Kluyveromyces lactis: one gene and its partner. The protein of the gene in region 1 purifies or fractionates together with the protein of each later gene. This does not show direct contact. Links are inferred from orthologs where the notes say so. Each region holds a gene or a part of one and is shown on either strand. Other genes may lie near its edges.

The links. The genes of interacting proteins can lie anywhere in the genome.
Region 2: the proteins of HRR25 (region 1) and RPM2 purify together in Saccharomyces cerevisiae (affinity purification with mass spectrometry, with the first as the bait; 7 studies listed by BioGRID). This does not show direct contact. The link is inferred for Kluyveromyces lactis from reciprocal best matches to the Saccharomyces cerevisiae genes HRR25 and RPM2.

What each region holds. Positions count from the first base shown.
Region 1 is NC_006040.1:264,294-267,778, reverse strand, and holds HRR25 (serine/threonine protein kinase HRR25), read right to left. Parts: upstream 2,019-3,485; coding exon 501-2,018; downstream 1-500. Other genes in the region: NPY1 (NAD(+) diphosphatase), read left to right, coding at 2,809-3,485. UniProt on the Saccharomyces cerevisiae protein: Protein kinase which phosphorylates serine and threonine residues. Can use casein as a substrate. Phosphorylates elongator complex member ELP1/IKI3 on 'Ser-1198' and 'Ser-1202' which promotes the tRNA modification function of the complex.
Region 2 is NC_006040.1:885,040-889,155, forward strand, and holds the start of RPM2 (ribonuclease P), read right to left. Parts: upstream 2,801-4,116; coding exon 1-2,800. UniProt on the Saccharomyces cerevisiae protein: Ribonuclease P generates mature tRNA molecules by cleaving their 5'-ends.

The DNA.
Region 1 (3,485 bases):
TAGATTGCTCTCTTTTTCTCACCACAGTTGACTCTCCTTTTGTTGTTAGTTTTCCTTTGGTCTAGTTTTTCACAATTCACTGTTCATGTGAGGAACAGAAACCCTTTTTCGATATTTAGTAGTGGAATTCGTATATTGCGATAATGGCCTTGCCAAGGATGAGGAGGGAAACTTCAGCAGCAGCAACAATGAGCTGTGAACTGCGAGTACCGTAAACCTGTGTCAGCTGCCGATTCAGTAACCAGCTTACTTTCATGGTTGCTCATGTTGGTGAGAAAATCCCTGTGTGTGTTCTCCCCCATGTTCCACTATTCAAGTACATATAAGAAAGAAATATAAGTGTGAATTAGGTAACAGATTTCCGAGTTATAATTTATAACCAATGTGGGTTAGAAGCCCATGATTAACTGATGATGAGTTGTATATATGTATGAGCGTGTGTGATTTTTTCTACTCTACAGATTTTGCAACTGTTTGCGCATTGTTTTCGTCTTTTGCGTTTAAAGCCAGATATTATTGGTAGTGGTAGTTTTGGTGGTGTTATTAGGGTTTGGTAGTGGGTTGGTGATAGCCATTGCATTTGGATGCGTTTGTTGTTGTGTTTGCAGTTGCTGTTGCAGAAGCTGTTGTTGCTGCTGTTGTTGCTGCTGTTGTTGTTGTTGTTGTTGTTGCTGTTGTAACATCTGTTCTTGTTGACCTTGAACTTGTGCCCTTTGCTGTTGTAGTAACGTGGTAGGTTGAGGTAACTGTGTATCTAGTTGCTGACCTGATTGTGGTTGTCCTTGTCCCTGAGTTTGTCCTTGTCCCTGAGTTTGTCCTTGTGGTTGTCCTTGTTGTGGTTGAGACGCCACCTGTTGGTTCACTTCGTGCTTCAACTGTTCCATGTTTCTGTCGATAGCATTCATGACTTCATCTGGGATCGTGGAGATAACTTGGGTGTTTAGGATAGTCTGTTGTTTTATGTCTTCAGCAGTTGGATGAGAAGTATCATCTGGTTTCCAATAGTGGAAATGTGTTGAAAATTTCTTCATAGCCAATTGTTTCACTTTATCAAATGAATCCTGTTTATTACCATTTTCATCTTTTTGTTCCAATGCTTGGGCGCCTCCTTGTTTGTCGATCATGGCTTTTGTGTAACGCAACATGGTCCAATCAAACAAATGATCATTATGGTATTCCAACTTGATGAACAAATCCTTGAACAAACGAGCCAAATACATATAATCTGGTCTTTCATCGAATCTGAGGTTCCTACAATATCTCATGTATTCAACAAATTCCATAGGTAAACCTTGACATAGTTGTTCGACGGTGATGCACAATTTCTTTTCCATGATACGGTCGTATTTTTGTCTTTTTGTCGTGGCTCTGAGCCCCTGCCATGGTAAGGACCCTTTGCAGAAATATATCAACACGTAACCCAAACTCTCCAAATCGTCACGTCTACTTTGTTCGATCCCAAGATGCGTATTGACACTGGCATAACGTGCAGTACCAGTAAGGTTCTTATTTTCTCGGTATGGGATATGGTTATGACTTCTAAAATCTCTATACTTCTTGGATAAACCAAAATCAATAACATGCACGGTGGATCCACGTCTTCCGACACCCATCAAGAAATTGTCCGGTTTAATATCTCTATGAATGAAAGATCTGCCATGAATGTATTGGATTCGACAGATCATCTGCAGAGCAAGCATGATTACGGTCTTAAAAGAAAATTTCCTATGACAATAGTTAAATAAATCTTCCAAAGACGGACCCAAAAGATCGATCACCATAGCATTGTATTCACCTTCCTTCCCAAACCATCTGATGAATGGTATTCCAATACCGCCGCTCAAATACTTATAAACTCGAGACTCATAGTCTAATTGAGGATGCTTCGTACGAATCGGCTCCAACTTAATAGCGACTTCTTCACCACTAATCAAATTAGTCCCATGATAAATGTCCCCAAAGGAACCAGAGCCAATCTTCCGCCCAATCCTGAACTTTCTACCAACTCTTAAATCCATCTTTCTTTTTCGTTCCTTATGTCTGTCTTCTCCTGTTCACGTCTTACCTTCAATATTTCTAATCAAATGAAAGTATATATACCGCAGAACCTCAAAATAAGTCTTTATATCCACGTTCTCATGTACAAGCTCAAATACCAGAAATATCAAGTAAGATATTTTTATCCTATAATCAAACTCAACTGGAAACAAACGTACAGTGAGATATGTCAGTTGCTTGTTGCTTTATTGCTTCTCAACTTCACAAAATTGAGAGGGAAATTCTGCAACTAAACCTGAAGTTCTGAAATGAAAAAAAAAAAAAAATAAACCAAAACAGAGACCAAAAAAAAGGTCAAATTCCTAAGTATATAGTTGGGGAAAGATGGACGTTTTGAAACTATACTTTGATATCTGAGTTTCCGTATCAGTTAACCTGTGTTATGACACCAAATGGCCCACTAAATTCTCCGTCTAATGCTCTAACTCCACCAATGAAATATCAAACATGGTGATTAATTGTGGTTAAGTTGATTTCAATTTCAATTTTTGGTACAAAAAATAATAGTGTTTCTTTTTTCTACGAAGGGGATAGTAGAAACTTATGATCACGTGATATATGGTAGGGTAATTTCCAAAGCATGGTTTGCAGTCACATCCACATAATGACCGGGAACAGTTGGATTTATACGTGTATATTCAGTGCACAACCTAGTCGCATTGTCGTTTTGATCGCTGGAGAGGTTGTTGTACTTGGAGTTCGATCAATTTAGTACCCGTATAGTGTGGTTAGCCTGATAGCGCAGTACATATGGAAAGAAGTGTAACCTTTTTCGGATTGGAAACTATCAATAGAGTGTCATTCCTAAGGGACGACGAGGTTTTCATCAAGCAAGCGTTCGAACATGGAAGTACTCAGTTTGTACCGTTTATCAATGGGGCAGCATTCGCAACTGAGACTAGTGACAAGTCTGGTACCAATTTATTAATGTTAGGACATCAAGGTTGTCCTAACTACTCGGAATGGCCAGGCTTACTAAACAAGATAAGATCTGTCATGGATACCGAGAGAGGATGGTTAGTTGAATCCGGGTTCACAATAACGTTTTTAGGGTTGATGGATGGTGACAGCAGTTTTTCTTACAAGGAGTACACCGGTACCCCATTGTTTGCCATGGATTTGCGGCCAGCGTCCGATACTCTAGTTCAAAAGTCGGAGACAAAGTTCATACTAGATCAATACGAACCACTTGGGAGGATGCAAGCATTCAACCTAAGCAATGAAGTTGCTTCGCTCTTCTCTCATGCAAACATGTACTTAGATTGGCTGAGAAAGTTTTTGTTTTGTCCCGGATGTGCATCGAAAGTATTTCCTGTCCATGGTGGAACCAAATTACAATGTGGAAATAACGACGAATCTGTTAAATGCTCGGTAAGGGACGCAGCTGTTTCAAATGTGTGTTTCCCAAGAACAGATCCAGTGGTCAT
Region 2 (4,116 bases), about 620 kb from region 1:
TCGCTCTAAATAGCGCTGCAAATATAACCGCGGTAGCGCCTTTGTACTCCGCTTGAGAAGTAATACTTTTGAACCTATCGGGGAAACCAACAGCATTAATAAAATTCCGGATGTTTTCACAATTTAACGCAAGCTTTGATAGCGATTTATCTGTTAGGTTCTCAAGAATCTTACTGAATAACTGATGTTGAATTACCTCCTCTTCCAAAAGATTCTTTGGACATTTCACAACAATACAATTAGAGATATACTTGAGGGTTTCCTTGTCTGGACATAAATTGATAGTCTTGGTTATAACATCAGAGGTTATGTATTTCTGGTGAATCAATTCGGAGAAAGTATCATAATCAAATTTGTAGCCATCTTCGGAAAGTCTTTCATATTGCTTGAACCCTGTCCTTTTGGAGTTACGCAATACCGGACCCAAGCTTAATGGGTAAGATTTGTCCCAGTCACCAGGGTGTTGGAAATAAGCCACAGTATCTTCGGAAAGATCGACCATTTTCATAGCTTGAATTGCTACAGGGGAAATCTTGTTGGCATCCAAATGAATTCGTTTGTAGTTAACGCAAAGCTTTTGGAATCTTTCAGCCATTTGTTTTTTGAAATCTAACAACATCTCATTTTGAATATCCAAATAGTAGGTATCTAGATCATATAATCTCGAAACAGCTATTCCATGCAATTCAAGATTGTAAGAATAATCCTGAATCAATTGAGGAGTTTTCCACAACGTTTGGAAACAAACAATGAAACCTGCGTAATTAACTGCAGAAGCGTTTTCAAGAGTGAACGCTTCACAGGCACTCTTAAAGAAAGGCATTTCTGATACCTTCTTCAAGATAGGTTGCGATTGATAGTTTTCGACCAATGCATTCAAAAATTCGAATACTAGAGGCTTGCTATCGGTTGAAAGTGCAGAACCATGAATATTCACAAAACGAAGTAAGTAAGGCTCCGGGCAACCTATGCTTTGGAAGTAGCTAAAAATGTAAGGGTACAATCCTCTTTGGAATGTAGTCTTTTTCACATTCGATTCTTCGACCAATTTCATAATGAGCTCGTCGTCTTTTTGCCTTAGGGCGTATGTCAATATAGTGCTGGGCATCGATTCCAATCCACTTGGATACAATAAATAATTTTTGATTTTATTATCGTTTTTCGTGGTGTTGAATGACGTTTTCATAGGGAAAATATAATTGTATATTCTTTTCACCAATGGCCAATTAGTATTGAGGCAGTTTGCGATCATGACCAAGTAGAATTCATAAGAGAATTCTGGTACCCATTTTAATTTACTGAATTCCATCAACAACTTATATGCCTTTTCCGAATTTATTTTACCGACAGATATCAAAAAGTTCGAAATGACCAAAGAAACGTTCTTGTTATGCCCATCTTTTGCTTGTAGATCCACAAGAAGCTTATCTAAGAGCTTTGTAGCTAAACTTAACGATCCAGTTTCAGCAAAAGCTGATACGACGACAGAGTACACTTCATATTGGTGTTCAACCAATTGCATATTTTTCAGAAGTTCTGATCTAAAATCTTGATAAAGGTCTTTTACTGCCTCATGTTCGTTCAACATCTTGGCGTACGAGATTAAAGAAATGTAATAGATTTCATTCTTTGAATACTTCACGTTTGAATCAATGAAATTCTTGATATAGCCGTACTTTATGTGGCCAGGGTATAAATTGATAGCCAACAAAAGATTATCTAAAAACTCATGGTCGAAGGACTTATTCTTATTCAAATTAGAAGCAAAGAACAGATCAATGGCAATTTTGAAAAAATCTAATCCATTGGTGTTGTGTAACTCAAACGCTCTGATTGATCCAGACAACAATGAACCTACAACAAGGTGATAGATTTCTGCGCTTGGTTTTAATTTATTCTGAATTATATCTTGGTAACAGTTAAGTAATTCAAACATTTGGTTATCGATATTATTTTGATCTAAGTCCCTTCTGCAAATAGAAGTCAAAACTTGTTCAAATAATGACAACGGAGGAACAATTTCATTTCTTATCAACGATTTATAAATTGCGTTAACCTGATTATAATTTTTGTTCTTCATGCAATCTTCTATCAGCTTAGATTGTGTTTCTAAAAATGCTTCTTTATTCAAACATGGTTCCAAATCTGTTTCCCATGCCGGGATTGAGTCATCCAATCTTACATCTTTTAAACGATCTAAGAGAGCTTCCGGCACTGCACCTTTATCCGTTTGTTCTTTCGCTCCAGATTTCTCTAAACTATGATGCTTTTCGACAGGAGGTGAAGTTGGAGGAGTGATCGGAGTTGCTCGTAGATTGTTATTTGCATTATTTTGAGAATTTTGTACCTTGGTAGAATAATAACGGGTAGACAACTTCTCGTTAATTAGAGCAGATTTTTCATTCGATAGATAGGTAAACGAGTTGGATCTCTTCTTCTTATTGTGGTTGGCACCATACGAGCTCTTCTTCGAATAATTTACATCATGTTCGCCAGAATAGAAAATTTCACCATCCTTTTCATAAAATAAATTTAGCTCCTCTGATTCTAATCTCGACAGCTCTGCGTCTCTACTCTGTAAAGCCCTTTCCACGTTATTATAATTAACGTTGGCCACCACTACGGGATGTGGAACAGCAGTCAAAATGTTATGTTGAGGAATAGCAGTATCCAAGTTCACAAGTCCCTGATTCTGTTTCAAATACTGGTACGAGCTATCAAAAAAGGACGTTGCCGATTTATGTGCAGAGGAATGATACCCCTTACAGTAGAACTTACATTTCAATGATTTGAAGTGCATCCTGTCTTTTAACCCACTATTTGAACGATGTAGAGAAGAAACAATAAGTCCGAACTAAATACCTTTCCTGTCAAAAAAGAAGGACAATTATCCCAAGGTACTCTTATTTTACGGTAAAGTTAGATTCGTCTTATGGAAGCCAATATAATATCTATCAACCCTCCAAATTAACAAAGTGAGACAGTAAATAATTCAACGGTCAATAATGATGCAATTAGTCCAGCGTGACAGGGAAGGGAAAAAAGACCAAGTCAATCAGTGAATATAAGAGAGATGATTCCAGCTTGAAGCTTATTCTATACAGAGAAACTAAGCTTTACTGACTCTGTAGCTCCCTTTTAATATCAACTTTTGTGCTTACTTCTTGATTGACCGCTGAGCCAATATTACCGGTAGGGATGAATATTTGATTCTATAGATATATGAAGTTTTCTCTTTTCCTATTTCTCTACTTTCTGTTTTCTACTTTTTTTTTTTGTCAAATTATCAGTTTTCTTTATTTTCTGTCATTCTGATACGGAGGGAAAAGAAGCATTCTGATATGCTGCAGAGATTTAACAGAGGGAATCCCCCATAAAAAGCACGGAAATTTTATGAACGCTTATTATTTAGAGCCGCGAAACTACTTCTTACCCGGGGATAGCTCTTTTGGTTAGTCATTTTTTCTTAGGACATGAGCGTATTACCCTAGAAACAAAAGTAGTCAGATCAACCACCAGGTCTATTTTTGATCCCTGAGCTGTGATTTGCTGTGACGTGGCACAGAATTAAACTTTACCGTGCTTCAGTAATATTCCTATTGGTTCTTTCTTCCGGACACACTCAGGAGTCAGAGGGCTAAGCTCTGCAACTGTTGGAGCTTACTAGCTTTGTTACGATAAATTCCTCAGAAGCCGGAAAGACGAGCTTTATGGTGTGGTGTCCGGGTGTTTTCATAGAAACTACCGTAAAACTGTATTGCTTCAATCATCTTTTTTTTTAGCGTTTTCTGTCGATTGTGTTCTATTGGCCGATTTCTGGACGGTAGCGATGTTTCGCATAGTAAATTCACTCAGACTGGGAAAAGTAATTCGAACGAAAACAGTGCTAAGCGATGTTCGTATTTACAAAAGGATCGTAAGGAATGACTAGCTATGGGAAATAGCGTATTTTGGAATTGGACCGATATTACCATCGGGAGATAGGATTGGATGTGACATTCGGAAGGAGAGGCTTACTGCTAGCATACAAGCTAGGAATATGGCAGGAAGAAGCTCTGAAAAACACAATCAATCGAGCAAGGTAAGTTTAAGTTCAGTAATGAATGGAAAGGCAAT